Linked DNA regions of Ovis aries. The protein of the gene in region 2 purifies or fractionates together with the protein of the main gene of each other region. This does not show direct contact. Links are inferred from orthologs where the notes say so. Each region holds a gene or a part of one and is shown on either strand. Other genes may lie near its edges.

Region 1 (3,971 bases), on a different chromosome or scaffold from region 2:
ACTTAGACTCTTCCACATTGTTTTTTTTTCTACCGTGTTTTTAAAATTCAAAATTTAATTGCCAATAGATAAGACTAATTTAGGAGGCTGTTACAAGTGCTAAAAGTGCAGTTGACCGCAGTTATTCACTTTAAGTCTATTTCCACTGAAAATGAGAAGCTAATGAAAAAAGAGGAGGGTGTTCCTGCAAGACACAGAAACAGAAGGTAGGACTGTGCATCAGGTCAATGGATTTGAAGCAATTTTAGACTTCCTTTTATTTTGCATTTTATTAACACCTGTAACTTAATATTTAACAGAGAACTACAAACACTGCTGAACCTCGAAGACATACACAAAAAGTCATATATTCTTAGATTCCATCAGAGGCAAGTCCATTAAGACAGGAAGTAGATTTGTGGTTGCCAGGGACTGCAGGTGGCGTGGGAGGGGAGGAGGAGCAACTCTGAAAGGGTTGATGGTTAGTTTATGTTGTGTGATTTTATGTCAGTGAAAAACAGACCTACAGAAAAACTGAAAGAGAGAGAAAGAGATGAAGGGGAAACCAGACTATGACAGAAGACTTAAAAGACATATAAGTTTTTAAAATGGGCAGTCTTGGAATACACAGTTGGGTGATAAAAGCTAATGAAACTCCAACGGGTGAGGGCGGCTATTTCTATGGGGTACTGTGGAAAGAGGCAGAGGAAGGGGCAGGGTTGGAGGTGCTGGCTAAGTTTTAGGGTTTTTTTAAATCTTTTTTTAAAGTTTTTTTTTTTTGGATGTGGACCATTTCTTAAAGTCCTTATTGAATTTGTTATAATATTGCTTCTGCTTTGCCTTGGTTTTATGGCTGAGAGGCGCGTAGGATCTTAGCTCCCTGACCAGGAATTGAATCTGTGGTGGAATTGCGGAGTCCTAACCACTGGACCACCAGGAAGTCCTGTTAATTCTTACTGTTAGTACTGTTAGTACAGTTGAGGTACTAAGATTTATAAATCCAACGGGTCTGTAAGCCTAACTATTAGGAATTAACTGTGAGAAACTTCAAGACCTCCTCCGTCATTCCATTGCTTGGTTTGTTTTTTGGGGCAAGTATAGTTGATTTACAATATTGCGTTAATTTCTGCTGTACAGCAAAGTGATCCAGTTAGACATAAATATGTTCTTTTCCATATCCTTTTCCATTGTTCCACCACTTAGCTCACTGTGCCCCTCACAAACGGACAAACCGCCATCAATTCAACCGACCCTCTCTTGCCGGCATATGGATGACTCTAAGCTGCATCTCGAACTTTCCATGGGATTCTGACCTCAGTGCAGACCCAGCACACCCTACCCACCCCCAGCCCTTGGGGTAGCCTAGACTTGGGAGCACACTCACCGTCCCTGTGGCCGGCCGATCAATCTGGATCTCCACCACCTCCCCTTCGATGATCTCGGTCTCCTCCCTGGCGAGAGAACAGATCTAAGGAGATAGCTCGCGGCCTGGGCCCTCAGGAACTGCTCACCCCTGTGGGCCCCTGGGCACAGGACGAGCTGGCATCCCTCAGGTGGCGTCCCAAGGCTGCTGGGAGCTACCATTACTCCTGCTTACTTGATGCGCACGCCGATGGAGCGCCGGAAGGCCTGGGTCAGTGCCTCTGTCTTGCTCATCTCCAAGGAGAAGATCTCACTGCCTGCGATGGCTGTGAATGGGGTGTCGGGCCCCAAGGCCTGCGCCATGCCTGAGGAAGAGGGGAGGCAGTTTGGGTAGGTGGTCCAGGCACGAGGTCCTCACATCTCCCTAACCAGCTCTTCTTCTTCAGACAGGAAAAAGGGGCTCGGTGCTGTGGGGCAGACAGGGAGACTTGCAGAAAGTGAGTGATGGCGGGCCATGTTGGGAGGCCCTGGGTTGGAACCCCACACTGCCCAGACCAAAAACTTTATGACTCTACAGTCATGCTGGACCTGCCTCCCAACCTCTGAGAGCTGTTTAGCCTCAGGGCTTGGGGGGGATGAGCAGGGGTGGAGGCAAGGGGCTGAAAGAGGTTAAAAGAGACTGTGCAGGTTCGAATCCCGGCTTCAATGCTTAGCACCAAGTTATCTTAAGAAGCCTAAGCTGCTCCCCAAGCCAGCCTGCCCCTCTGGGTAATGGGAACCATAACATAACAAGCGCTGGCAGGGAACGACATTGCTGCATAGGAGCAATGATAAGGGCGGGCAGGCATGCCCTGGTGCTCAGCCGGGACCCCGATATGTGACCTGGGACCAGCACAGGGAAGGGCCTCCTCTATGGTCTGGGGCCTGGGGTCAGCTGGCAGACAGTGGGCAGTTCCTGCCATCACTCCAAGCTCCGGGCCTCTCTGCCAGCTCCCCTTCCTGGGGGCTCTGCCCAGCTCTGAGCCAAGTCTCCCAGACAGGAAGTCACTGAACCCTCCTGACCAGTGCGAGGTGGCAACTCTTCCTGGTCCCCTTTCCAGAGGCATGCCACACTCTGCACCTGGGTATCATGTTCCGTACTGTCTGTTCAGGAGACTCCCAGACTTCCTGCGAGTCTCAGTTCCAGTACTGACTCACCTGGGATGTCCCTCCTGACAACTGCCACCCCATTCTCTCCCCATCACCCTTCATCGGAGGAGAAGCCTCCTCTGTTCTCTACATGGACGGGACTGTGTCCACTAACACCTGCCCCAGGCTGGAAGCCCCTTAAAGTCAGGACTTTGGTCTTAATCATCTTGGTGTCCCCAAATATGAGTGTTACTTTTTCTTAACTGAGGACCTAGCTGTTGCCTTGAGTCTCACTGCCTGGCCCCACAGTCCAGGCACAAAGGTGAGAGTGAGTGGGAAGAGACTCCAGGAAACCTTCAACAAGGAAAAGATGTCAGAGAGCAGTTTTGAAGGACAGATAAGAGCTCAACAAGGATAAGGGACAGTTGTGAGTAAAAAGCTTTTAAATTACTAATGAATTGCAAAAGAGACTGCTGATTGTCTATACAATGCTCATCTTTCACATCTTCCTTTGTTCCAGAACGCCCATTTCAGTAAGGTAACAGTAGTCCCAATTAAAATATAAAAAAAAGTTTTAATGCCTCTCTCTCTCTTGTGCAGTAGAGTGTGGTCATTAACTTCTAGTCAATAAAATATAAGCAAGAGAATGTGGGTGCCCTGAGACAGCTGCTTAAAAGGAGCTCCCTCTAGGAGGTACACCCTCATTACAATTCCTTTCTCCTTCTTCTTATATGGAGTATGGGTGGGATGGCTGGAGCATAGGCCACCTTTTTGTAACCCAAGGTGTCCCTGACATGGAAGCAAGTGATCTCGAGGCAAGAAGGTAGGAGCCCTCATAGAACTGCTTAACAAGCCTGAATTGGCCTATGTTTAGACTCTTCTATGTGACAGAAGAAAGCCTTAGTGTTTAAGCCACTTCCATTCTGTGCTGTCTGTTAGACATGGCTGAACCTGACCCTGACTTACATGGGAGGATCATCCGGTGAGGCCAAAAGAGCTACTGCCTGGAGAAGCACCTTACCCATGGCAATGGCTGTCTTCCCAGTGCCTGGCTGGCCAGCAATGAGAACCGCCCGGCCAGCAATCTTCCCTTCTCGGATCATCTCCAGCACCACACCGGCTGCCCTCCGGGCCGCCAGCTGGCCCACCATGCCCTGGGAAGCCTGGGGGCAGGAGGTGACAGAACATATAAGGAAGGTGACTTTCTACTGAGCTGCTGCTGCATTTCTACCACCTCCAGGCCAAAACTGTTGGCTAGGCCTTCAGAAAAAAAGGCTTTTCTCCATCCCCATCTTTTAGAGACCTATGTGTGGCTGAATTGTATAAATACAGCACAGCCAAAGATCTGGAACATCATAACACAGTCTCTGCGTTCCCCAGGGCCTTGGGTTCCCTCCACCTGAGGCCTCCCTGGGGCAGCCTTCCCAGCTTGACCCCCTGGGTTCTACCTGCCGTGGCTCCAAGGCATCATCGAGTCCCAGCCCCCGGATGTGGGAGTGAGC
Region 2 (4,481 bases):
AAGTTTTATTTGCACTTAGAAAATCTGAATTTCTCACCCTAGCCTACTGGTACTGTTTGAATGCAACCCTGCCTCTAACTTATTCCTACACTCCTTTCTTCCTTTGCTCAGAATGCTTCACATGACCTTGGATATCTCTTTCTTTTTTTCTTGTCACATATATTGGTGCTTCTAGCTGGAAGTCTCTCCTCACTACTCTGTCTGGTAAGTGCCTACCTAGCCTTCCAGTCAGTCTAATTATTACTTTCTCAGAGAAGCTTTTCCCTGAACACATACCACCCTTCCTGCCAACCTCTTTTGTTTTTAGTTCCATCACAGCCTTTTCATTTGCAATTATGTATTTATTTGTGATAATTTAATTGATATTTCTCTGTTCTACTAGACAGGAACTGTGTCTATACTGTTCAAAATCATATCCTCAGGGCCTCTGAAACTGAAAAACTCCCAAAAGAGAACACAGGCAGAACAGCCTTTGACATAAATCTTAGCAATTTTTTAAAATGTCTTCCAAGATGAAGGGAAAGAGCAAATATAAACAAACAGGAAGGACCTAATTATACTTAAAAACTTTTGCAAACAAAAGGAAACCATCAACAAAATGAAAAGACAATCTACTGATGGGGAGAAAATATTTGCAAATGATATGAATAATTAGAGGTTAATATCCAAAATATATAAACAGTTCACACAACTCAATATCAAAAAAAAAACAATCCAATTAAAAACTGGGCAGAAGAAACAGGACACTTTCCCAAGGATGTAGAGATGGCCAACAGGCACATGAGAAAATGCTCAACATCGCGAATCAGCAGAGAAATGCAAATCAAAGCTACAAAATGAGATATCACCTCACATCTGTCAAAAAGGCTATCATTTAAGTCTACAAATAACAAATGTTGAGGAGGATGTGGAGAAAAGGGAATCCTCCTGTTTGTGGGGATGTAAATTGGTGCACCCACTACGGAAAACAGTATAGAGGTTCCCTAAAACACTAAAAACTACCATATGATCCAGCAATTTCACTCCTGGGTATATATGTGAAGAAAATTACAACACTAGTTTGAAAAGACACATGCATCTCAATGTTCATAGGAGCATAATTTATAATTGCCAAGATACAGAAGCAATATAAGTGTCCATCAACAGACAAATGGATAAAGATGATGTGGTTTACACATGCCATGGAATACTACTCAGCCATAAAAAAGAATGAAATTCTGCAATCTGCGACAACATGGATGTCCCTAGAGGATATTATGCTTTGTGAAGTAACTCAGAGAAAGACAATTATTCTGACATCACTTATATAGAGGACAAACCAGTGGTTACCAGTGGGGAAACAGCAGGGGGAGGGGCAAGAGTGGGGTATGGGATTAAGAGATACAAACTATGTATACAATAAATAAGCAATAAGGAAGTATTGTATAACACAGGGAAATTTAGTTATTATTTTGTAATAACTTAGAATATAATCTATAAAAATATTTAATCTCTATATTGTACATCTGAAACTAATATAAATCAACTAGAGTTCAATTAAAATAAAAAAAAAATCTTATCCACAGGGACTAACACAGATCTAGCATATTTAACATTCAGTAAATAATTCTTGAATGAGTAAATTAAAACCAATACTTCATAAAATCATAACTTATAGATATATGCAGTTACATCATCCTCAAGGATGACATCTATTCTAAGAACCTTTTGTGCTAGGAGATAAACGTTGCCTTTTTAGAAGATGCCCATTGAATAGTATAGAACAACTTTTTGCTGAAAATATGGACATGATGTAAACAAAGAAAAACAACAAAAAGTTTCTTGGAGTCTGGTATATAGAACAAAAAAGGAAAGTATCTGAAGAGATGAAAAAAAGGTTCCTAGCTAATTCAGGACATTTTTCTACAGATAGTCATACATTCACCAGCAATCTAAAAGTGTCAACTTGGTTTTCTTAAGGTATGGAAGAGTAGGGGAAATAACAGTCTATTTGGGTTTACAGTACTTCTCAAATCTTCCCCTTCTCTCTAAATAATTTTACCTGAGGTAGCACCTATTACACTTTTTACAAATGGTTCAATTAGTATGAGATTAACAGATAAGTGAAAGCAGCTCTCTATGTAGTTCTCATACCTTTGAGAAGTATCTTCTTGGTTCAAGGCACTTGTCTGCTTAGTACCTACCATTAAAAGAAACAAAAAACAGTAGGTCAAGTGTACACAAACACCAGGTTACAGGACAGATTCTTGCCCCAGTAAACTGTAGACCATCTTTTCTTCTCCACACATTTCACTTCCAACTCTGTGTGAAAATCAAATGAAATGAGAAGGGAATCCAATTTGGTTTTGCAAGCTAATTATTTTTGTTGTTTAAAATGTACCTCTTTCAGACTGAATTTTCTCATTATCCTAGTCGCATAATTAAGCACTCCCGAAAGCCTGCGATCTAGGGGCAACCTCTCTCCGTCCCCCTCAATGTTAGCTCTCCGGTCCTCAAGAGATCCAGGGCACCACAGGGGCAGTCCACCTGCAAGGACGGCCAGTGCTAGGGTGAAGGCCAGCAGCACTCGGCCTTCCAACGCCCTCCTGGTCACCTGCCCACTCAGACGACCCCGATTGTAGGCTCTCCAGGACCTCTGCTGCCCTTTCCCTTAGAGCCTGGAGCACAGCCAGCCCATTTGGGGGGAAATCTTGGAAGACTAGCGTCAAGAGTTGGGGATTCGGACGAAGGTCTTTCCCAGAAGGCGAGAGTTCGGCGGTAGAAAGCTCTTGGCCTTCTTGCCCCCGAGGATCTCCTTCCCTGGGGCAGCCTTTCGGGAGCGCCCGCATGCCTCCGTCTGGAATTCTGTCGGGGCCGAATTCTCAGTTCCAAACTTGGGAAGAGGCCCTTCCTCCTACCTGGGACATCTCGGGAGGCGCGGGGACGCCGGGCTTTGCGGCCCGCAGAGCACGGTCCGACCCAGTCGGCCATGGCATGCGTCGTCAGTGTCGGAACCGACCTTGGCGTCTTTCCCCCCCAAGACTCCGCCTCCCGTCGCGCAGCGCGGGGCGGGGCCGGCTGGGAGGGGAGGGGCCCGGAAAGCAGCGCGGCGGCGGTGGCGGCGGCGGAGGAGAGCCGCGAGACGGGCGAGAGGCCTGGCGGTAGGTGGATACACGCGGGGTCCCTGGCGGCCGGGGCCCGCGGTGGGAGGTGAGCCGTGGAGGACCCGGCTTCGGGGTCGAGGCCTCCGTGAGGTCTGGGGCCCAATGGCCGACGCAGGCAGGAACCGGGAGAAATGGCTTCCCTTGGATGCAGCCTGCACGCGCGCTGGGGTTTTATTCGCTGCTGTGAGGATCCGGCGGAACCCCGTCTCTACTACTGGGCCTGCGAACCGGGCGGTGTTGCCCTGAGGGCGGCCTGTTGCCTGTCTTCGCGCGATACAGTGATTTCACTATCACAATTGATTATATGGGGCGGGGCGCAGTACATCTGTTACAGACAGATGCCCGGGTCTGTAATGCTTGTTACTCTTGGGGTGGAAGGCATCCCAACTTTCATCCCCTCCAGTGTTACATTCCAATTTCTGTCAAATGGGACATTAAAAAAAAAAAAGAAAAGAAAAAGGCTCCCTGATAATTAGAATTGATTTCAGGCCCACCTTTGGGGCGCAGGGGTGGAGGAGGAGGGTGAAGACTGTCTTTTAAAAGATCTTAGGGTAAATTTGTGCTACCTCTTGGGAATGAACTAAAGACTTTCTTTCCCCTTCAATTTATCTTTCAAAATTATGCTCCAAAAAAACTTAAAGGACGAAAAAGAGGTTTTTGTTCTTCTGTTTTTTGTTTTAATTTCTTAGGCTAACGTTTCAGTAAAAAAAAGTTTCAGCTTTAAAAACTTTCCATTTTCTTTATTGTATTTATTAATAATTCATAAGAATGAAGTAACTTATACTGAAGTAACATGATGAAGTAACTTACTATTGATAGTTAACAGGGTATTTATATGATAAATTTCAGCATCAAAACTGGAAAAAATAAGGAATGGCTGTGGAGGAACTACAGTCCATCATAAAGAGATGTGTAAGTAATTTTTTGTTTTTATTTTTAATGACATTTAATGACCTTTCAGAATATGGGAAGAGCACAGATTATTTTTAGTTACCTGCAGTCACTCAAATTGTTAATCTTCTTTAATCCTTGCTTTTTTTGACCTATGAATAAATAGCATGAAGGCAGGAAGACAGATTGGATATGTCACTTAGGGAAATAATCTTTACACTTTTAATACGGATCCTTATCATAGATTTCTTTGGCACAGTGGATTTCAAGGCGATTTATTGAAGTATTTTTTTACCTAATCCTAATTTTCATACATACGATTATGTGCAGCTTATCTAGAATTTAAACAGATTTCTTTTTTTAGAGAAAAATCAAATAGTTATTGAATTTCCATTTGCCTAAACATACTTGTTTTTTTGTTTGTTTCTGCCAGCAAATCCTAGAAGA
Region 3 (3,971 bases), on a different chromosome or scaffold from region 2:
GGTCAGAGGGTCAGGGGCTCAGAGACAGACCAGCTGAGCCCAGGACTCTGGAGTCTAGCGAGTCCCACACATAAAGCAGGTGAAACACTAAGAGAGGCCAGCAATGAAGCAGCACCCAAGGCCTTACCCCTGGCCCAAATGGAAGGAGTAGGCAGTGTGAGCTGAGGCAGGAGGGGTCAGGGGTTGGGATTGGACAGACCCCAAGCATGGGTGAGGTTGAAGCCCTTGGGGAGAATGGGACCAGCACTCAAGGCTCAGGGACCTTCAAGGGCAAATGACAGGCGCCAAAGCTTAAAAGCATTTCCACAGCGTAACCCTGACCCCACACCCAGATGCAGACCCTGCTGCCCAGGGACACACACTCCTTTGTTCTCCCTGCCCCCTCAAGCCCACCTGGCACCCATCTACTACTTTCCTTCAAGGCTGAGCTGGGCCCACTTTCCCATGAAAGCCCTACAGGACAGGGCCCTGGCACACACACACACATACATGGTCCCAATAACAGGTGAAGTGCCGTCCCAGAGGCCCTCATAATTAGACGCTTGTGTCACACAGACAGCAGCTGCAAGGCCCCACAAAGCACACCGGGCACCGTCCGTTTTCCAGGGCAAGGCTGTCACCATGCGGTTCTAACATGAATATACTTTGCAGTCTTCTTGGCCAACCAACTGGGAAATGATGGACTTTTCGCAATGAACAACTTTTAAAAAAATCTATAACAATTTACACTTTGACAGATAGCTCACTTTGTATCACATCCCTAAACCATGAGTATTCAATGTGTTCTACCTTACACAATTTAGAAATAACATAATTCAAGTGTGCATTAAATGTAGTCAGGTTTACCAAGGGTGGGCCACGTACCAGGCATTATACCCGGTACCAGGGGAAAAGGGAGTCAAGACAGTCCCTGCCGCCTAGAAACTGACAGTCTAGGGAGGAGGCAGAGTCTGGAGAAGCAATCACGGAAGAGAAACTACTAAAAGGCAGCAAGCCACAAATCCAGGACCTACGCAGCCCGACAGGACACATAAGAAATTCCCACTGAGGCCCATCTTGACGAGCTGTGCAAAACCAAAACCAAAACAAGAAAAAAATCTGAACGCAGCCAGAGAGAAACGAAGAAACATAGACAGCGGAACATACAGTGGATTAACAATAAAATCAATAGAGATCAGAATACAATGAAATTCTATCAGAGTGTGGAAGGAAAATCACCAAATTAAAATTCTATACTCAATAAAAAATATCCCTAACATTGTAAATCAGCCCTACTTGAATAAAATTAAAAACCAAAATAAGCTTTAAGAACAAAGGTGAAATAGACATTTCCAGACAAAGAGGAAACAAATTTATGACCTGCAGATGCTCAGTTTCACAGAAGGAAATCATCATGTTTAGGAACTCAGAGATACAGAAAGAAATGATGAGCAAAATAAATAAATTAATTTAAAAAAAAGAATATTAACTGGATAACATCTTACAAGGTTTAAAATAGAGAATTAAAATATACAAATACAATGACAAATGAGTTGAGAGGAAGACCAAAACCTAAAGGTTGTTGAATCATCATGGATGAGGGTAAAAAGTAGCTGCTACTGCTGCTAAGTCGCTTTAGTCGTGCCCGACTCTGTGCGACCCCACAGACAGCAGCCCACCAGGCTCCTCTGTCCCTGGGATTCTCCAGGCAAGAACACTGGAGTGGGTTGCCATTTCCTTCTCCAATGCATGAAAGTGAAAAGTTAAAGTGAAGTCGCTCAGTCGTGCCCGACTCTTAGCGACCCCATGGACTGCAGCCTTCCAGGCTCCTCCATCCATGGGATTTTCCAGGCAAGAGTACTGGAGTGGGGTGCCACTGCCTTCTCCGAAAAAGTAGCAACTAATATTAAACTGAGAAATCTGTAGGGTAATCTCTGAAAGAGTCGAGAAAGGTAACTTCCCAGTTACTGGTGAAAACAGTAACAAGAAAAGAAGGGAAAAATGAATATAACATGCCAACAGGACAAACAGAAAGCACTAAGGTAGATTTAAGCCCAAAACTTAAACTGAGTTTTTGTCAGTCGGTCAATTAGTACTTACATTCAATTTAACTGGGTTAATCGCTCCCAACTAAGGGACTAGAACTTACCTCTTCACCACCCAGTTTCCTTGGACCAACATCGCCACCTTCTGGATGCCACGCAGAACAGCCACAGAGTCGACAGAGGGGCCCAGGAGGCTCATCAAGTTGGCAAAAGGCATGACCTTCACTGAGGAGGACACAGGAGACATCAGACAAGCCAAGAGGGCCCTGGGCTCATGCAGCAAGTCCAGCAGGACAGTAGTAACGTAACGGCTGCAGTCACTGTTTCTCACTCGGGGCAGGCCCCCGCCTCTCACTGAGCCCTGGAGGAGTGCCTCATGAGAAGACCCAGCCCAAGAAGCTTCAAAATTCACCCATGATCACTTGGCTAGTAAGTGGCAGAGCCAGGACTTGAACCCAGGCTGTTTGGCTCCAAAATTCATGCACTTGGTCACTGTGCTTTGCTCACCCCACCTCCCCACCCCCAACTGAGCCCCCAGCCCTGGTGAGCAGTGGCAGGGCCAGGGGAGGCCCATGTGTTCTGGAGCAAGGCCAGCAGCCTCTGGACCCCAGGGAGCTCCCCTCTCCACTCCAGCCCCGCAGCCTCGGGCCTGGGACTCAGCTCTGAGGTTCGAGGCTCATGTCCACTCTGACGGTTCTGGCCTCAGAGTCGTCACTGTGGGGAGCCTGGGGAGGGACCACAAAGTGGTGCAAGGGACACACTTCACTGTGAAAAGGAACACCGCTCGTGCTCACACGCGAGGCTCTGCACAATCCTTTAACAAGCCTCACCTCTGAATCTTCACCTCAGCCCCGTAGCTACCTTAGTTCCTTTTCATAAACAAACAACACATCCCAGGAAGGCCAGTGGCCTGCCCAGGCTCACAGGGACCTACAGCCCCTCTAACATGGCCTGTCACCAGCTTCAGTGCACTTTCCAAAGACCTTGGGCCTCGCTCCTTAAGTCTGTCCCAACTCCACTTCCCCAGGAGGTGGCAAGGCTGGGGACCCCCAGGGCAGGGCTGCCCACTCACCGTTTTTCATCAGGATCTTGATCTGATCAGCCAGGGGCAGGGTGCGCAGTTGGGCCATGGACAGGACATTGCTGGGGGCCACGGGTTTGTCTCTATTGAAAACCAACACCAAGGGTTAGGAGGCCAGGGGCAGGTTAGCGGGTGGGAAGGGGCAGTGCGGAAAGGCGTTCGGCCCCTCTACTCACTTCTCCTCCTCCTGGCTGGGGGGCATCAGCATCATGAGGTACTCACTGTCGGGGGAGAGAATGGGTCAGCAGCTTGCAGGGCTCTATCCTTGCCCCACCCCGGCCACCAACCAGTTGTATCCAAGCCGCTCCCCGCCCCAAAGCCCAGCACCCACTTCTGGCCCTCTCCAGAGGATGATGGACCCCTCCACATCTCCCCACCGTGTTACAGAAGGGGCCACAGTCTCAAGGCAGGACCCATGAGAGAGGGATGCTCCCAGGGCCAGTGTCAGGCTCAGCAGCCCTCCACGGCCCCAGCCTGGCTCATCTCACCTGGGGGACTTGACCAGCTCCGTGTTCTCAACCCCGCTGAAGCCCTGGCACAGCAGGTACTGGCGTTCGTGCTCAGAGCGACTGTCCTGTGGGGGAGGAACAGGAAGTCAGAGGAACCTCAGCCAACATTCCAGGCCTCCCCCTGCAATCTGGTTCTCAGCCTTGTATCACCTTCTGCTCCAGTCACCCACTGTCCAGCTCCAAGGCTGGCCACAGGATCACCCCAACTTCCTGAGCAGAGCACTCAAGGCCTCTGCATGTGGCCTCAACCACATCCCTTCCTGCCTTTATGACTGCACAGTCCCAGCGCATCTGTGCCTCTATGTGCTGACAGAGAAACACAGACAGCAATGGTAACAACAGCTAGCGTTCACTGAG
Region 4 (3,971 bases), on a different chromosome or scaffold from region 2:
TAAGCTATGTATGGGTGGGAACTACTACTAAGTGTGTCTGTTTTGGAGAGGCCAAACCGTTCAGAGCACTGTTCTGAAAACTACTGGCTGCTAAAATGAAATACTGGCTTTCTCCTTCACATATAGTAAATTCACTTTAACTATAATTTCTAATACTGAGAAAGAGTGAAGCCATTCAGACTAGTGAGACATAACTGACCTGTGGGATTTAAAAAGCTGTTTTATTGACTAAGATGAATCTTCTTACAACAAAAAGAAAAATGTCTTAATATGTAATCAACGGAAAAAAATGTTTATCCTAAATAATCACTGAGTACAAAATCCACAGCTTAACAGTGTGATTTAAAGAGAAAGCAGGAGAGCATGCAATTGCTCTAACACAGGGTTAGAAATAAAAGGTAAAAGTACATTTGTTTTTGGTAATTCTAAATATACAAATATAATATTTACCATATCTACCCTGTAGTGTAGGACTGCTTAATTCCCAAATATACGTAATTCAAAAACCTTAAGGAAACATTAAAAATGTTCCAGGCTACTTTACTGAACATTAATGAATATTGAGTTCATGAGATATTAGAGCTAAAAATACTACTGTTTTTTAAAGTTAAATGGCTAAGAGAATATTAAGGTACCATTATTTTACTCTTCTTTTAATCCCACAGATGGCTTTTTATGTTAAAGGGATCAATTATGTTAAAAGGAGCTTGATTTGACAAACAGAGATTCCAGAATCAGAGTTGTTCTCTTGGTACAATGTCAAATTTTTTTTAAACATTTCCAAAAGCATTTTCATAGCTATCTACCTAAATAACTCTAAACAGCTTTTAATCAAGGGGTCCCTATATAACACTCCTTTTATCCTACACTGTGGCTGTTGGACAGAACCCCTGTTGTGGAAAGGTTCTCCAGGTTCTGATCTGACCCTCAAAACAACATCCATGTTTAGTATTAAATGACCGACCTCTGGGGAATAAGGAATCTAAGGTGTTGAGAGGCACAGAACTGATGTTTTGGTTGAGGAGAAGGGTGAAAATCAAGTTGGAACACCTAGTCCCTTCTACAATCAAGTCCTAACTATACCATAATAAAGTCTCAACCAACCTGATTAGTTCTTACCCTTTAGGAATCACATACTATACACTGATTAGATACTGAAGAAAATAAAGAAAAACATTTGAAAATACATGAAGAAATAGAAACATGGAAATTTCTCACAAGGCCCTGGATCAAAAAAATTTACAAAAAGATCTTTTGAAAATAATCACTACTTGTGAGCTTAATACACATAGAGATTCACTTTGTTTAAACTAAGTCATGTTAACTTACCAATAAAATAGTAAACAAACCAACATTTTAAACAATTTTATAAATTACCTGTCATTTCTTTTTGTTAATGTCACTCTCAACAATATACAAAAATAACACTACAGCACTATCCACCTAACCTGTCTCCATCTCTTGCAAAGTCCTGGGCCCTGGAAAGAGACTGGTCATCAATCTTCACTGTAGATATCCCCCGCAAAGGGCAGGTGCATGTGGCTGCCAGTGACATTGGGCAATCGAGATAAGTCCGGCAGGCTCTGGATCCGGGACCTGAGTTCTTTGCGCACCAGGGAAACTCTGGCTAACTTGCGCTTGTATTCCTGTAACATCAAACCACTCTCATTAGCACTGTGGGAGTTCAGAGAGGACCTATCTAGCTTATCCAGCTAATGCTCTGCAGAAAATCTGATAAAGCACTCAGTTTATGCTGAAAAACAAGATTATGTGAGCCTTAGGATCAAGAGAGGGATTTGGGAAATACTCAAGTAGAGAAACTCATTCTTAGGAAAAACTACAATCTTAAATTGCTGCTTCACACCTGTAAAAAAAAGATTAACATATTAATGTATCAATATTTAACTGAAGCATATAGGATTCTCAGGTATACCGGGGCAAGGATAATAAAAAGTATATATTTACTTCCACAAGCTTAAAATAAAATTTAGCAGTGTTTTTGACTATAAATGCTGGCAAAAAACCACAGGAGTATTATCAGTATCTTTGAGTTTATCTCGAATAGAAACCAGATGCTTCATTATTATATCATTTTTCACATTTATCACTACTTTGAAATGATCAGACCAACTGCTAGTATTACTTATCAGTAAAGAACCATGTATTAGTGTACAAGTTTTATTACTTCAATAACTATTTCAATATAACTTTTTCCTATTGTAATGTTATGCATTTTATTTTCTACATTTAAAATATTTAACTTGAGAAGGGGTCCAAGGCTTCATAGGCTCACCGAAGGATCTCAATGGCACAAAAGGAAAAAAACTTAGGAAACCCTGCAATCAGCAGACTAAGGTGTCGGACTAGAAACCAATAAAGATCATGTCTGGCTTAGGGGGAACAGGCCACTCTCTGCAGCAGAAATATCTTTTATTAATAACGGAAGTTTTCAGACTTCAACCAGAAGAGAGGAACCTTCTTTACTCCATCACCTAGTAGAGGCAGGGTGTGAAGAGGGGAATCAAAAAGTTGACTATTATTTCCTCTGTAAAGACTAGAAACTTTTCCACCCTCTGACCAAGGGTTAAGCTCCCCGAGACAGAGCAGGTGAGTAAGAAGTTTTCATCTGGGGCAGAAGGCCTACCCACAAGGAGCCCCTTTTTGTTTCTCAACTCTGACTGAATCTCCTAGGAAATTTCTGGAGAAACTCAGAATTCTCAGAAGAACACCAGCCTCACTGACCATCAATTAAATGAGAACCTCTGGAAGCAGGTTCAGAGCTCTTGAATTTTGTAAAAGCTCCCCCAAAGGATGCTAATATACGAGCCACTTCTCTATAGTTTTTGTCTAAAAATGAAATCAGGGAAGCTTCTCTGTATTACTGAGTTCCCTCTTTTAAAGAACAACCATTAATATGCCTGGGGAAAGGAGTCAGTCAGAATTACTATATCCCGACCACTCTAAGGCAATGTGGGAAAGAGGGTTTCTGAAGCACACTGGGGAAGTGAGCACCCAGGCAGACAAAGCCAACGAGGTTGAAAGCTGGGCACGCTGTAGGACAGCTTTGGACACGTGAGAAAGGTGTCGATTCTTGCCCTGTCTGCCTGTCCTTGCACTTTTAATCCATCATGAAGGTCGAGGTTGAGTAAGGGAGTTTAACAGGGATCTAAAACCTCAAGGTTACGACTTTCCTGTTCCCTTTTTCCCTTTGCCGGTGACACTCTGGCACAGCAGGTAGGTTTCAGTACAGCAGCTCCAAGTGGCACACAGCAGAGCAGCTAGGTGTTCATTCTAGATACACACTTTTCAGTCCATACACATCTCCACCCTTAGCACACTTCCTCAGAATACTCTGGTAGGGGCGGGGGCAAACACATACCTCCATCTGTCCCGTCTGTGTGCATGCTCAGGGGCTTCAGCTGTCTCTGACTCTGCAACCCCATGGCACGCTCCTGTCCATGGGATTTCCCAGCAAGAATACTGGAGTGGGTTGCCATGGCCTCCTCCAGATCTTCCTCACCCAGGGATAGAACCCATGGCTCCTACGTCTCCTGCATAGCAGGCAGATTCTTTACCACTGAGCTACCAGGGAAGCCCCCATTTGTCCCTGTTTGTACTAAATCATTCTTTAATAAATAACACCTCAAGTACTCCGAGGTTAGCACGATAGATTCAGATGCTGTTCAAACATGCACAGAAGTAATTTCTCTGCTCCTCTTGAGGCTAGATGTCCTGAGAAGTCTCATGTGCTTTTAGTGATCATTACTGCCCATCCTAATTTCAAGTTTCTAGCAACCACACAGGCTGTTCTTGTTACTGAGATTTATCTTAATCCTTCGATTCAAAGGATCTACGGCAATTAAAAGCCCTTCACCAACTGGTGACATTGCATACAAAAAAGTGGTAAACATAAGCAAACGCTGCCCTTTACTGGATGTCCACTGATACAGCAGGCATTAAAAAAAGAGCCC
Region 5 (3,971 bases), on a different chromosome or scaffold from region 2:
AAGCACCCTCCTTCTTTGACTGGATCGTGCTCCCACGCTCTTCTACAGCCTATATTTTCTCCTCTACTTCTGTGCTTCTGTGCCCTGTGGTGCAACTACACTTCAAAGCAGGAGAAGGAACGTGCTGAGGGTTTTCCTCCTTTTGCCTTTACACAGCCTTCATCCCAACAGCAAGGGGAGGGAGAGAGAATTCTTTTGTATAGAATAAGTGGGGGTGGGGAGTGGCATTTCAAGTCTCAGTATTTTCCCCTATTTCTTCTTACTGCCCAGACCTCTAGTCTTGAAAAAAATACTGGGAACATAGGAAGCGACAGCATGGAAACAGTGATTTAAATTTTATCGAAGAGGGTCTATAAAATTCTGTATTTCAACACAGCTGAATTTTCTTTTTACCCTGATCCTGGCTCATAGCTTCAAAACTGCTGTGGTCTGTGTTTGTTGTAGGAATGTCCATCTCTGTGTCTGATACCTTAACTCTCCACCTTCACTACCATCAGATCTCCACCTGACTTGTCCTCTCTGTGCCCTAGAGAAAAGACAGTCCCTGAATTAAAACTCTACTTGAGTCTTGGGAAGAAGAGTTTCTGCTCAGAACTGGAGACAGGGTGGAATTTAGGACTTGGACCTCTAGGCTCTCTTAGTCCCCTTCTCTCTTCTCTCCCCAACAGGCATTTCAATTCTCTGCCTTGGGTCTGTGAACTCTGCTGCTTAACACTGTCCTCTTCTGCCCCAACCTAATCCAGGCACCACCCATCCCGAGGTCACTGAAAGAGATGCCTTTCTTCAGAAAACCTTTGGGATTAGAATTTCCCCAGGAAGATGAAGGATGGAACGTTCATTGCTGGGTTTCATCTCTCCTTCTGACCCAAAACTTCCCACAAAAATGTCTCAAGAAACCTTCCCAAAACTTAGCATTCTGCCCCATTCACTAACTGCCAATTCCCATGGGCAGATAACTGGGAATCCTTGAGGGGGCATTTCTGTGTAAGAGATGTATGGAATCAGTATGATAGCCACCTTCTTTCAATACTGTGTGCAAAGAGGAATAAAAAAGAAACAACAACAGAAAATCCTAATTACTATTCTACATAAAGAAATGAGAATTTCCAACCATGGCTGACTATAGCTTATTTCACAGTTAAAAAAAAAAAAAGAGAGAAAGAAAAATTTTCAATTAAATATCTGCTACCCAATAAAACAAGATCCAAGAGAACTTTCCAGAGTTAAATGGATACGGAATTTCTCTCTAAATCAAACCTCAGAAAAGGAAAAGATGGAACTACGCAGATCACTAAAGGAAAATTGTGAATACCCAAGTTTCCCAAGCTGGAGTAGGCAAAGAGCAAAAAGAACTACTGTTGATAATGAAACAAAAGGAATCCAGCCATCCAACTACTTATTTCCACTATCACCTTAGTTTAGGACATTATTATCTGAAACTTAAGCTATTTCAAAATTTGTATCTGACTCCAGTCTCTTACCATTCCAAGTAAACACCATTTCCAAAGCAACCTTTTTAAATAACACTTTAATACATTCTTTGACAGTCTTTCCACAATTTCCCATGACAGCCAATGACATCCAAGCATGTGACAACCTAGTTCCATCTTATCTTCCACTATCAAAAAGAGATCAAGTCAAAAACAATACACTGACTACGGTGGTCCCTCCATTCCAACCACAAGCCAAATTCATGAAGTATCTCTTGCTGAAATGATTAAATATCTTTTCTCTACTAAGACAAATGCCCTTTACAGTCAGCTTAAGTCCCTCCCATCTTTTTCACTAAGCTCTGATACCAAAGCTTACGAGATCTCTTCCTTCCATAGTATTTATTTTGGAACTCTGAATATGCTATATTGTTGTCTCTCGTTTTGAAAAGACCATATAGAAAAAAATGCCATACATTAAAAAAAAACAAAGACATTTTATACCCATTTTTCCAACACAGTGCCTGAAGAGTCAATTATTTTTGTTCTCAAGAGCAAAGTCTATGCAGTAGCTCCACCTAAAATGAGAATAATACACCAGCACTTATGAGATAAGCTACGGAAAAGAGGGACTGATCTGGCAGGAAATAATAATCTTTCCCTCTGTCTACTTCTACTTCTTTTCTACCTCATTTTGGTTTTTAGTTTTCCCTGTCCCTCAAGACCGATCAAGCTGCCTCTCTACTCAAAAACTAGGAACATGGAATTCCCTGGTGGCTCAGTGGCTAGGATTCTGGGCTTTTGCTGCCATGGCCTAGGTTTGATCCCTGGTGGGGGAAATTGAGATTCCCCCAAACCATGCAGCAATAAATAGTACTTAAAAAAAAAAAACTGGGGTGGGAAGAAAGTTCATGAGGGAGGGAAATATGTATACCTATGGCTGATTTATGTTGCTGTATGGCAGAAACCAACAACATTGTAAAGCGATTATCCTCCAATTAAAAATAAATAAATTAAGGAAAAAAAACTAGGGACAGTCATTGTTTTCGACTACATACACACTTCTTTACAATCACTCAAAACTAGATTCTAAAATGATAGCCCTGCTATGATTTTAACAATGCTGAAAACATGCACATGTTTAAAAAAAAAAAAGACTACAAACTAATTTAGAAAAATTAAAAGAGCTGATATATTTGGGTGATTTCCCCTTACCTCTTATATTGATATAACAATGTATTTCATGCAACAAATAATCAAGGCAGAGGTTCTTCACCTACTTTTTCTTTCTATTACTTATACTTGGAAAGACAAAAGGAGGATTTTCTGAAGTAATATGACTATTTCTGGCTTGCTTCTCTCAGTAGCTCATCATATCTCTTGAGATTCTTCTTCCTGACTATTAAATACCTACTATCTGAATAGGAATTAACAGTTCTGCATTACTCGCAAAAATGCATCTCTCCACTAGTAAGACTAAATCAGGAGCTGATAGAAACTGTTGAAAGTACACTACAGAAAGTACACCTTTCTTTTTTAACCTTTAAGCCAGGTGAGAAAAGGACTGAAATTTCAAATCAATACCCTTATTTATGTTACTTTATTAAAATAACCATCTTACCGGTTCTTCAACTTCTCCACTAGCATGCTGAGCTTCAGCTTGTAGGTCTATAGGTGGAGCATCTTCCACAATTCTTTGAACAGACATCTGAATAAACTCATCAAAAGAATCCAGCTGTTGTCTCACCAAACCTTTCTCATCAAAATAGGAACTGGGAAAATATGAGTTTACAATCAGTTACAACTCACTAATGTTTTCTAGCATATTTCCCCATTTTCACTATCATTAAATTCAACAAATATTAATCATAAAATAGAAATCACTCTGTACCCATCACTATATAAAATACTATCATGTATCTAAAAAGGCGATGAGACTAGGAACACTTTCTTTGTCGAACTTATTGTTAAGTCTGTGGAAATGAGACTTATACCTGTGGGTAGAATTACTAAAACACAACGTAAGAACTATAAGGAAGCCCTAACTTATAAATATCCCTTATAAACTTTATCCAACCTCTCTGAAACATTTCTTGAAACTAAAGAAAATGTATAGTCAAAGAGAAAAACATTAACAGGGATGGGCCATGAGACTATTAAGAGAAATAAACAGGAGAAAATCAGATAGCACATGATTTCACTCATACATGGAATCTTAAAAACAAAGGGAAAAAACCCAAACCCAAAACAACAGACAAACAAAACAAAAAAAACTCACAGACATAGAGAACAGAAAAGAGGTTACCAGAGAGAGAAGGTGGTTAGCTTTATAGGTGAAATGGGTGATGGGGGTAAAATGTAAGGTGATACAAATGATGGATGATAACTAGACTGTGGCGTTGATCCCTCTGTGGTATATTCAGATGTTGAACTATAATGCTGTACACCTGAAACTTATATAACAAAAAAAAAGCATGGAAAAAAAAAGAAAAATAAGAACTTTAATTTTAATAAGAAAAAAGATGATGATGTCAATGACTA
Region 6 (4,766 bases), on a different chromosome or scaffold from region 2:
GAAGTCTCTCCACAATCACAATTCCCCTTCCCTGCATAGAACCTTATACTCAGTCAGAGTTCATCCTTTATCCCCACATTACCTCCATCACCACCAACAGAGATCTACTAATCCCTCAATCCCCACTTAAATCTATTTCCAGCATATGCTTTGAAATTCATTCAACAAACACAGGATGACTCCTATATGCTTTGTGCTATTCTAGTGACTTGAGACGTAGACAAAATCTCTCCCTTTGCAAAGCTTATATCCTAATGGGAGCAGGCAATGAACATTATAAAAAAGTAAATCACACAGTAAACATTAGGAGGTCATAAGTGCTACAGAAAAAAAGAAAAAGTAGAACAAGGGAGGGGAATCAGGAGCGCAAGGGTTGCAATTTTCAAGTTAGGTTATAGGAAGTGACATTTAAGCAAGACTTCAAGTGAATAAGGAAAAAGGAAGCCATGCATATATCGGGGGGAAAGTGCTGTAGGCAGACAGAGAACAGTTACTGCAGTTGTGCTGAGGTGGGATCACTTTGTGGGCATTTAAAGAAGCCTGTGAAGGTTAATGTGATGAGAGCACAGTGAATGAGCAGGAAAATTAGCAGAAGGTGAAGTCAGAGGTAACTTGTTTTACTGTTACTGATTTACAGGCTGAGACCTCCAGGATCTGGTCAAAACTGTGCTGATGTGTAATAGTTATAGCCCTTGTAGAATGTAAGCTTTCAAGGAATTCTTCTGTCTTGTTCATACTGCCTCCCCAACACCAAGCACAGAGCCTGGCATACAGCAAATGCCCAATAAGTTTTTGTGTGAGTGAACAATACAGAGACCATTTATTGAGTACTTATTATGTGCTACACCTGGGGCTAAGCTTTGCATCCCCACTGTTCTCTCCCCTAGAGAGAGGGGAAAGTGGTTCCTAGGTACCATCCCAGGTAGCCAGGGTGAAAGGGGGAAGAAGGATGTTACAAATGGTGTTGTTTTAGACAGTATCCTCATGCAATGGACTTACTCTGTGAGGAGATTGCTCTTACGATCAATGAACTTGAGAGCTTCTGCCAGTGTCAACTCCAGGAAAAAACCATATCCAAGGGCCACATAGATCCGTGAAGTGTCTGGGCTAAGGAAACAGTGGTGATCAGAAGTGGAGAAGTCCTTGTCACTGTTTAGCATACTACACAGTTTAATATTTATTTTACTCCCCATCCTCCACCTTCCCCAAACTGAAGGTCAGGGTGGGCAGATAATTTGTCCTATTTTATTTACTGTCACATCTTCAGCACCGAGCAGTGTCTGGTTCATAGCAAATACTAACAAAAGTATTTGCTGAATGAAGGAAAAGGGAAGCTGAACCCTGTGGGCTCAGAGGGGCAGGTAGATACTCACACCACTGTGTCAACGAAGAAGTTACAGCCCAAATCCACTTGCATATATAACTCCGAGTGATTAGCTTCCTGTGGGGCCAGGGAAAAAGAGGTAGGGATCAGTGGTCAACTTTTAGGTCAGGTGACAGGTTTTGGTCTTGGGTATCTCCTCTCTTCCCCCTCCTTTGCCCACAAAAAGACTACCTAACCCTGGCATCTTTACCTGGAGTCGCTCAATGACATTTCTCAGTTGAAGGTATTTGGCCAGCTGCTCATATACCTTGTCGCGATGGTCCAGGACCTTTCTGATGGGACATGACAGGACAAGAGTAAAATGGTGACCAAGAGGAAACCCTGTCCCTCTTGGAATATCTCACACCATGAACCCCTGAGACTCTCCTGTCACCAGAGTCTAAACAGGAATTTTAGTGCAGAAGTCAAGGTTTGGCCTCTGGGTCAGATTGCTTCGGTTTGAATCCAGGCTTTCCATTTTACTAGCTGTGTGACTTTGGCAAGTGAGTAATCTCTTTGGAACTCAATTTCCCCATTTTAAAAATAGGAATGAGGAGTATTACTTCATAGAGTCATTAGGAGGATTAAATGAGTATTTACTATAAGGCATTTAGAATAGTGCCCTCCAAACAAATTTCTCTATATGAGTTAGCTCTTATTTACAAGTATTATTACACTCTACTCCCAATGCCTCCCTCCAATCAGAATATGACATTCTCACCCTAGAAAAAAATCCTCCATCTCTTTTAGGAGCTCATAATCCTAGACCTGAACACTCTCCTTCCTGCTCTGATTAATAATGATAGTAATAATAATTTTTTATACTCATTGAGCCTCTAGTATCCAAGTTAAACCCTTTACAAGGACTGAATACACTGAAAACACAAACCCACTGCCGTGGGGAAGGCTGCATTAACTTCCCCATTTCACAGATGAGGAAACTGAGGCACAGCAAGTGGAGGCGAAGTATGTATTCACACGGAAAGCAAAATGGTCAAGCCAGGATTCGAACCTGAAAACTCCAGCTTCAGAACTCTAATTCTTAACCCTTTAAGGTCATCGGAAGCCGCGCATGCGCGTACACAGGCACCATTAAATCACCAAGTCTCCCTCCTCACCCGACGCTGCACCCCGGATATCGCCCCTCCTTCCTCCTCGAATGGCGCACGGGGCCGGGCTCTGAACGCCTCACCCACCAATCAGAAGGCCAGGCCCTGACTTCGAACGCCCCGCTCACCACGTGGACCGCTCCAATAGCTCCGCCCCCCGTTCTGTCACTTACTGCAAGTCCCGCTGCAGCACGTCAGAGATGAAAGCCTCGTAGCGCAGCACTTTCTCCGCCGTGGCCTCCACCGCCCGCCGTTTAGGGGGCGTCGCCATGATGGGCTCCTGAGGAATGGGGAGGGAGAAAGACCACGTTGAAGACCACTGGTCTCAGTTTGGTCTCAAGCACAGTGCAACTGCACCTTTTCAGTGTTGGGAGTTGAGTCGTCCGGCTTATGCCGAGGGTTCAGCCTTCCGCCCCTCCCAGCTCTGGGACCCCATCACACAGGGACACCCAAGCGCTGCCGTTACCTGAAAGCCGCCGGCAAAAAGAAGTGTTAGTAAGAACCGTGGCTTCCGGGTGGCGCGGGTAAATGACGTACGGCGGGGGCGCTGGCCAACCAAATAACCAGGGTGGGTGAGGCAGTCCTGAACGGAAAAAAACGCCGGAGAGAAGGAAAGGGCGGGGCTTTAAGAAATCCGCTGATTAAGAAAGGCTGAAGAGCGTGGGAACCTGGACTGCGCAACAAGCCTATGGGGATAGTGCACTGTTGCTGGGGGTGGGGTTTAATGGGATTTGGCGGGTGCCGGAGGTGGCGGTACACACAGAGCGAGTACAGCTTTTGGTGTTTAAAAGTCAGAGCTTCAGAAGCAGCCGGGCAAGAAAAGATTATGAATGTGGTCTGTAAAAAGGAAAGTATATCCTTGCATCGCCCTGGATTTTGAGTTTTCACAAGGGAAGCTTGGGTTTGACTTTCAATAATGGAAATAAATGTCAGCATTAAACATAAGTTTTGAAAAGGAGACAAATTTTCTGATATGCACCTTTGACGACTCCAGCTCTGTAGCCCGCAGTCCATGACTGGAGTTCAAGCAGAGGTTGATAACGCACTATGTCTAATCAGTTCAGTTCAGTTCAGTCACTCAGTTGTGTCCGACTCTGTGACCCCATGAACTGCAGTACGCCAGGTCTCCCTGTCCATCACCAACTCCCGGAGTTCACTCAAACTCATGTCCATCGAGTCGGTGATGCCATCCAGACATCTCATCCTCTGTCGTCCCCTTCTTCTCCTGCCTTCAATCCCTCCCAGCATCAGAGTCTTTTCCAATGAGTCAACTCTTCTCATGAGGTGGCCAAAGTATTGGAGTTTCAGCTTTAGCATCAGTCCTTTCAAAGAACACCCAGGGCTGATCTCCTTTAATGGACTAGTTGAATCTCCTTGCAGTCCAAGGGACTCTCAAGAGTCTTCTCCAACACCACAGTTCAAAAGCATCAATTCTTCTGCACTCAGCTTTCCTCACAGTCCAACTCTCACATCCATACATGACCGCTGGAAAAACCATAGCCTTGACTAGACGGACCTTTGTTGGCAGAGTAATGTCTCTGCTTTTGAATGTGCTATCTAGGTTGGTCATAACTTTCCCTCCAAGGAGTAAGCAAAGCATCTTTTAATTTCATGGCTGATCACGTCATTTAATTGGGGCGTCAAATAGAGGGTTGCTGAAGTCCTCTGCCCAAGATAGGTTATCTTGTCATTAGAAAGAGTTCCTATGTTTTTATTTAAATGTGTAAACTTTGTATTTATTTTTATGTGCTCAAATTACCGAATGGATTTATTTCCTATGTTAGATTTTCAAATAATAGCCTCTAACTCAGTAAGTCCAGGCCTGAAGAAGAACTCCAGTGCTGGATCCCCCAAATGATACTTCTGGCTGCAGGCCCTAGAGCACCCAGCGTATCAGGGAAGTTTTCCCAGATAATTTGTGGGTTTGCAGTCTAAAACCAAGCTTTGTTTCAAATGCTCAAAACCTGAGCAAGTCAAACTTTTCTTTACCCTTAGAACAAGACGATTGCAAGGAAAACTTTGTGAGTTTAAAAAATTATTTTTGGTAAATCATCTCATGTTAAATATAGTTGCAATTATATCTAGTTTGATCAAAAGAGACAGTAGGTAGGTAGACAAATATTATCAAGTTAATCTATACAATTTTCCTGTGAAGAAAAGGGTGTTACATTTATTATCTTTAACATGGAGAGCACAGAGTTCTGATGAGCTGGAGATGGTTTATTAGCTTACATTTCACAAAAAATTTTTTTATTATGGAGTCCATGTAAGATTTCTTTTTTAAAACTTTTTTT
Region 7 (4,607 bases), on a different chromosome or scaffold from region 2:
TTACATGGGATGAACAGAACTGTATTTCCTTAAGTCCTAACTGCTAGATTTCTGTTATTTGCAATCCAACTCATTCCTCAATGACAAACAAGCACTATGCTAGGTAAATATTATTTTATCTGAACTTTACAACAACTGTGCTATGTAGACATATCCCCTTTCAGAGATTAAGAAACAACTCAGTGGCACAGCAAAGATTAAAATGCACACAGCCACCAGCCGCCTCTCATCAAGCTGCCAGAAGCCAGGGTGGGGCAGGGGAGGCTGTGGCATGGGGGCGGTGTGCTGTCCCTGACCCCTGCCCAGGAGGCTTACCTTTCTCAATCATTTCCTTTGTCTCAGGGTGAGGCATCCTGATAAACATGTTCCCAAAGCAAACCATCACGTCTTCTGAAATGGCAAACAGTCATTCCTTCAACAAATAGTTTGATGCCAGGCATTGCTTTAGATGTTGAAAACACAGCAAAACAGGACGAAATTCCTGCCTTCCTAGCTTGTTAGAGTGGAGGAGAGAGAATATACAACAACGTCAAGATAATAAAGATATGATTCATCAGACCCTGAAAGGTATCTTAGAGAAAACTAAAGCAGGGAAAGAGAGATGGGGAATGCCAAAAAGAGGAGCTTGTCATTTATACCAGGCAGTCTTGGAAGGTCTTACAGATTATGTGCCATGCTGGCAGAGACCTGACAAAAGTGAGGAGTGTGCAAGCCCTGCAGACACCCATCTAGGGAAAGAGCAAGCCAGGCAGAGGAACCAGGAACAGCAAGGATCAGTAACGTGCCGGTGTGTCAGGAACAGCAAGGAGAACGGTGAGGGTGCAGCTGATAAGCGAGCGTGAGAGCAGAGGAGACAAGGTGGGAGAGTTCAGCGAAATTACACGGAGCCCTGCAGGACTCTGGATTTTACTCTGGGGAGACAAGACACTGGAAGGGTTCAGGCTTTCCAGTGCACTTTAAGTGCTTGGTTCCTGAGGCCCTTCATCATGGCCTGGCCTCTGCCCATCTCTCTAGCATGATCACTTGCCCCTCCCCTATTGCTTCCTCCATCACCACCACTTAGCCTCATCTAAAGAGCCACCATCCCATTATCCAAGACCAACCCTGTGTTCACTTCCTTCTGCAGCTTTCTTACAATTTTCAGTTCTGTATTTATGCTGTTGACTCACCTGTAGAGCACAAGGGCAGGAACTGCACTGTTTTTATACCCCCAGCACTTTCCCAGTGTCATCAATTGATAAGCTAGCAGCTAACAACCTGCTGGTTGAGGTAAGAAACTGAAATCCTGAGCCACAGTCTAGGTCAGACCTGCAATGCCATCTCTCCCATCTCCACGGGCTGTGCCACACACCTGTGGCCTCCTGCCTGGTCTCTAACAGGAATAAGTCAAAGGCAGTAGAAGGTAAACTGAACAGGCCTCCTGGGCTGCAACAACGAAGCTAGGCTTACCAGTGAGGCTGAGATCCTTCTGCAGGGCCCTCAGGCCCTCCCGGTTCCGATTCCTTTTGGTATCCAGGTCCACAATCTGAAAAGCACAGGGGCAGGAGGGAACTCAGTTACCTCCTACCTGGGTCTGTACCCTCAACAGACCAGGGCTGTTAAAACCTGACGAAGACGACAAGGCATCATTCCTCGGTTAATTCTAATGTCCTGCCTAAAGCGGACAGAGGTGTGAAGGTACTCCCTCCCCCACTCAGCTTCCAGCTCCTTAAAGACGATGCTTCATCCAGGTGTCTTTCCCCCCAGAGGAGGAGCTGGGGAAATGTCTAGTGACTAAATGGGTAATTTTTTATTATCATCCACGGGAGCACTAGTTCTCAAGCTTCAAGGCATTTCAGAATCACCAGGGGAGTGGAAACCACTTCCTGAACAAGCTCCTCCAGCTGATTCTGACCGAGTATCCTGAGAAAAACAACAATATTACATCAGAAAGGCACTGAGACAGTGGTCACAGCAAAATGGCTACTAAGAAAGTGAGGAGGCAGTGCAGTACTACTGCCTGGCAGTGGAGGCTCTGGGGCAGAACACCCAGGTTTGAATCCTGCAGCTTGCTATGAGCGGTGTGACTTCACCTCTCTGAAAAACAGGGACAGGAAGAGGACCCACCACCTAGGTTATTAACCTAGGAACTAAGTCAGCACAGTACTTGATACACAGTAAGTACTCAATCAACTTTAACTGCTATTTGTCAGCCAGCACACCTTGATGCAGTGTTTACTAGGCTCTCCCTTAATACCCAACTGACCAAGTACCCAATCATTCTAACTGGAGATGAGGAGTCTGAATCATTCTTGATCCCTCCTACTCCCTCACCCCTATACCTCAGCATCATGGAGGCCATCTCCAAAGGGAGATGACCCATCACCACCACCTAGGCCCAAACCCATCCCCTACCTGGCCCCTCATTCACCCCTTCCCCTCTTATAGTCTGTGCTCTACAGAGCAGCCAGAGGGATCTTTCAAAGCCTCAATCCATTATATCATTCTCTCTGCCCACCACAAGCTGCCTTAAACTCCCTGTGCAGGTCTCCACGGCCCTCCGGTGGCCTGGGCCCCACACTTCTCCCACGTCCCGACTCCTGCGCGATTACTAGACCACTCAGACTTCTTTCCTGTTCCTCTTCTGGCCTGGACTGGAGCGGTGCAGCCCAGGTCAGTGTTGGGGCCCAGAAACTGCATTTTGAAAAAGCGGTTCAGGTAAACCAAAGGCCCCAAGAGGTAATGGGTCGGGATCCGGAAAGCTGGGCAAAGGGCAGAGGAAGGATGGCGAGAGAGGAAAGGCCTGGCACAGACGGGCTTAATATGTGCCAAATACAGGAGTCAAGCGCGGCGCTGTGCCACGCACTCGACATTTGGCCCACATGATCTCACAACCGCCCGGTCTGTCGTCACAGCCCTTGGCCCACAAGAGTAGGTCAATTCACAGCTAGCCCAAGCTGGAGCCGGATTCCGGACCCCGCGCGCTGCCCTAGGAGCTCGCAGGCCCAACTGCAAAACCCGGGCCCCAGCCCCGCGGACAGGCCTCCTACCTGCCGTTTGTCCGCCAGCACCTCCTCGGCGAGCTCCTCCACCTCCACCAGGTACCGCAGCACCCGCTCCGCCTCGGGCGACAACATGATGCCTACCAGTCACGACTCCACTACGCCGCTATCCTATCGCGCTCACCTCCGGCTCTGCCGCACTGCAGCTCCGTCCGCGCACGCGCCGTTCTCACAGGGCTTCCGGCACGCATGCGCAGTTGAAAGAAGAACGGAGGCGCGCAGGCTCCAAAGCTCGCACGAAAGCGGACGCGAGAGGCGGGGCCTAGCTTGGGGGCGGGGCTGGAGCGCCCCCTGCAGGTCCAAACCTCTTAACCTCGCCCTCCCTTAGGATAGTTCTTAGGCGCTGAGGATACGGAAGTGAACAAAACGAAGTCCCTGCCCCTCGCGCAACTTCATCTAGTGGGTAACATAAACAATTGATCACAAAACAAATAATTATATACTATGGGAGGCAGTGATAGGGCTTTGGAGAAATCAAGCCATTCTTCCCCTGCCTGAGGAGCACCAAGGAAGCAAGTGTAGCAGTTTCTGATTTATAAAATGAGAGTGAATAAAAATCCTTCTCATTGTGTTTCCGCAGGATTGGAAGGAGGCAGGAGTCTTAAAATTCAGTTTGACCTCTACTTTCATTGAGCCCCTGTGTTGGACCCAGTGTCAAGAATAGCTGACCTAGACCCTAGGAAGGGCGGTGAGTGATGAAGTGCCAGCTCAGAAGAGTTGGAAATGCTGGAAAGTGAATCATTGTGGGCTGTAGGAGCTGGGAAGATTTCCAAGAAGAAGTAGGCAGGTGGAAAGTGGCTGCCCTTCCGAATCAGAAGATTCCCTAGAGATCTTCACACCCAAACCCCTCACTGTACAGCTGGAAAAGCCAAGGTTCAGAGGGTGGTGAGGGTTTTAAAAAGTCAACAGCAGACCCAGTACTAGAGCTCTGACCTCTTGTCTCCCTGACTCCAGCTTGTATTGCTCTCCTTTTGGCCACTGTAACCAAGCCCTTTCACACCCCTTGCCTTCCTTGAATTTCACAACCATCTTTGTATGGGTGGGTTATTACACATCTCGCAGCTGCATGCTGAGGCTTGTTCCTTGTCCCACGGCAAGTCAGGAGCAAACATGGTCCAGGAGTGCTCAAGCTTCTAGACCACAGCTGTTTCTGGATCCTGAAAGAAGAAAGGCCCTCCACCAAGTTGTGGCCCCAAAAGTCCTCGAAGCACCCTGTCTTTGCCTGGCCTTTGGCTTCCTTGAACTGATGAGGCAGTTAGTTTTCCCTGCAGCCACCTGGCATGGGGAAAGAAGGAGATTCATTAAGGATTCCTCATTAAGGGTGAATTTGTCGCCAAACCCAGGATGTTTTGTGTAAATACCTTCTGGTTCAGAAACGCAGACACAGGCCTTGTGAAGGAAGGAGGAACATTTGCCAAAGGAGAAACAGGGCTCACCAGGCATCCTTGAGGCCTGGACCCTAGGATTATCTCCCCTCCACCTTGGGGCTTAAAGGGGCCTAGGCCAGGCTGAACCCTGACCCCTGCCAGATGGGCCTGGATGGGAAAGGGTTGAAGGAGACTCCCA

What was found.
Region 1: the proteins of RPAP2 (region 2) and RUVBL2 purify together in Homo sapiens (affinity purification with mass spectrometry; 3 studies listed by BioGRID and IntAct, with this or other methods). This does not show direct contact. The link is inferred for Ovis aries from reciprocal best matches to the Homo sapiens genes RPAP2 and RUVBL2.
Region 3: the proteins of RPAP2 (region 2) and POLR3E purify together in Homo sapiens (affinity purification with mass spectrometry; 3 studies listed by BioGRID, with this or other methods). This does not show direct contact. The link is inferred for Ovis aries from reciprocal best matches to the Homo sapiens genes RPAP2 and POLR3E.
Region 4: the proteins of RPAP2 (region 2) and RPRD1A purify together in Homo sapiens (affinity purification with mass spectrometry; 3 studies listed by BioGRID and IntAct, with this or other methods). This does not show direct contact. The link is inferred for Ovis aries from reciprocal best matches to the Homo sapiens genes RPAP2 and RPRD1A.
Region 5: the proteins of RPAP2 (region 2) and POLR2B purify together in Homo sapiens (affinity purification with mass spectrometry; 3 studies listed by BioGRID and IntAct, with this or other methods). This does not show direct contact. The link is inferred for Ovis aries from reciprocal best matches to the Homo sapiens genes RPAP2 and POLR2B.
Region 6: the proteins of RPAP2 (region 2) and UXT purify together in Homo sapiens (affinity purification with mass spectrometry; 4 studies listed by BioGRID and IntAct, counting the BioPlex papers as one, with this or other methods). This does not show direct contact. The link is inferred for Ovis aries from reciprocal best matches to the Homo sapiens genes RPAP2 and UXT.
Region 7: the proteins of RPAP2 (region 2) and PDRG1 purify together in Homo sapiens (affinity purification with mass spectrometry; 3 studies listed by BioGRID and IntAct, with this or other methods). This does not show direct contact. The link is inferred for Ovis aries from reciprocal best matches to the Homo sapiens genes RPAP2 and PDRG1.

Annotation. Positions count from the first base shown.
Region 1 is NC_056067.1:55,305,144-55,309,114, reverse strand, and holds part of RUVBL2 (ruvB-like 2), read right to left. Parts: coding exon 3,918-3,971; intron 3,633-3,917; coding exon 3,491-3,632; intron 1,707-3,490; coding exon 1,577-1,706; intron 1,431-1,576; coding exon 1,364-1,430; intron 1-1,363. UniProt on the Homo sapiens protein: Possesses single-stranded DNA-stimulated ATPase and ATP-dependent DNA helicase (5' to 3') activity; hexamerization is thought to be critical for ATP hydrolysis and adjacent subunits in the ring-like structure contribute to the ATPase activity.
Region 2 is NC_056054.1:69,550,223-69,554,703, reverse strand, and holds the start of RPAP2 (putative RNA polymerase II subunit B1 CTD phosphatase RPAP2), read right to left. Parts: upstream 2,984-4,481; 5' UTR 2,971-2,983; coding exon 2,898-2,970; intron 2,180-2,897; coding exon 2,134-2,179; intron 1-2,133. Other genes in the region: GLMN (glomulin), read left to right, coding at 4,017-4,055, 4,468-4,481.
Region 3 is NC_056077.1:20,535,730-20,539,700, reverse strand, and holds part of POLR3E (DNA-directed RNA polymerase III subunit RPC5), read right to left. Parts: intron 3,680-3,971; coding exon 3,594-3,679; intron 3,327-3,593; coding exon 3,282-3,326; intron 3,189-3,281; coding exon 3,097-3,188; intron 2,250-3,096; coding exon 2,129-2,249; intron 1-2,128. UniProt on the Homo sapiens protein: DNA-dependent RNA polymerase catalyzes the transcription of DNA into RNA using the four ribonucleoside triphosphates as substrates.
Region 4 is NC_056076.1:21,481,074-21,485,044, reverse strand, and holds part of RPRD1A (regulation of nuclear pre-mRNA domain-containing protein 1A), read right to left. Parts: intron 1,647-3,971; coding exon 1,497-1,646; 3' UTR 1-1,496. UniProt on the Homo sapiens protein: Interacts with phosphorylated C-terminal heptapeptide repeat domain (CTD) of the largest RNA polymerase II subunit POLR2A, and participates in dephosphorylation of the CTD by RPAP2.
Region 5 is NC_056059.1:73,103,944-73,107,914, reverse strand, and holds part of POLR2B (DNA-directed RNA polymerase II subunit RPB2), read right to left. Parts: intron 3,203-3,971; coding exon 3,052-3,202; intron 1-3,051. UniProt on the Homo sapiens protein: Catalytic core component of RNA polymerase II (Pol II), a DNA-dependent RNA polymerase which synthesizes mRNA precursors and many functional non-coding RNAs using the four ribonucleoside triphosphates as substrates.
Region 6 is NC_056080.1:57,168,353-57,173,118, reverse strand, and holds the start of UXT (protein UXT), read right to left. Parts: upstream 3,006-4,766; 5' UTR 2,939-3,005; intron 2,753-2,938; 5' UTR 2,744-2,752; coding exon 2,646-2,743; intron 1,657-2,645; coding exon 1,575-1,656; intron 1,442-1,574; coding exon 1,374-1,441; intron 1,108-1,373; coding exon 1,000-1,107; intron 340-999; exon of another isoform or gene 1-339. UniProt on the Homo sapiens protein: Involved in gene transcription regulation. Acts in concert with the corepressor URI1 to regulate androgen receptor AR-mediated transcription. Together with URI1, associates with chromatin to the NKX3-1 promoter region.
Region 7 is NC_056066.1:61,136,666-61,141,272, forward strand, and holds the start of PDRG1 (p53 and DNA damage-regulated protein 1), read right to left. Parts: upstream 3,213-4,607; 5' UTR 3,117-3,212; coding exon 3,030-3,116; intron 1,526-3,029; coding exon 1,450-1,525; intron 391-1,449; coding exon 316-390; intron 1-315. UniProt on the Homo sapiens protein: May play a role in chaperone-mediated protein folding.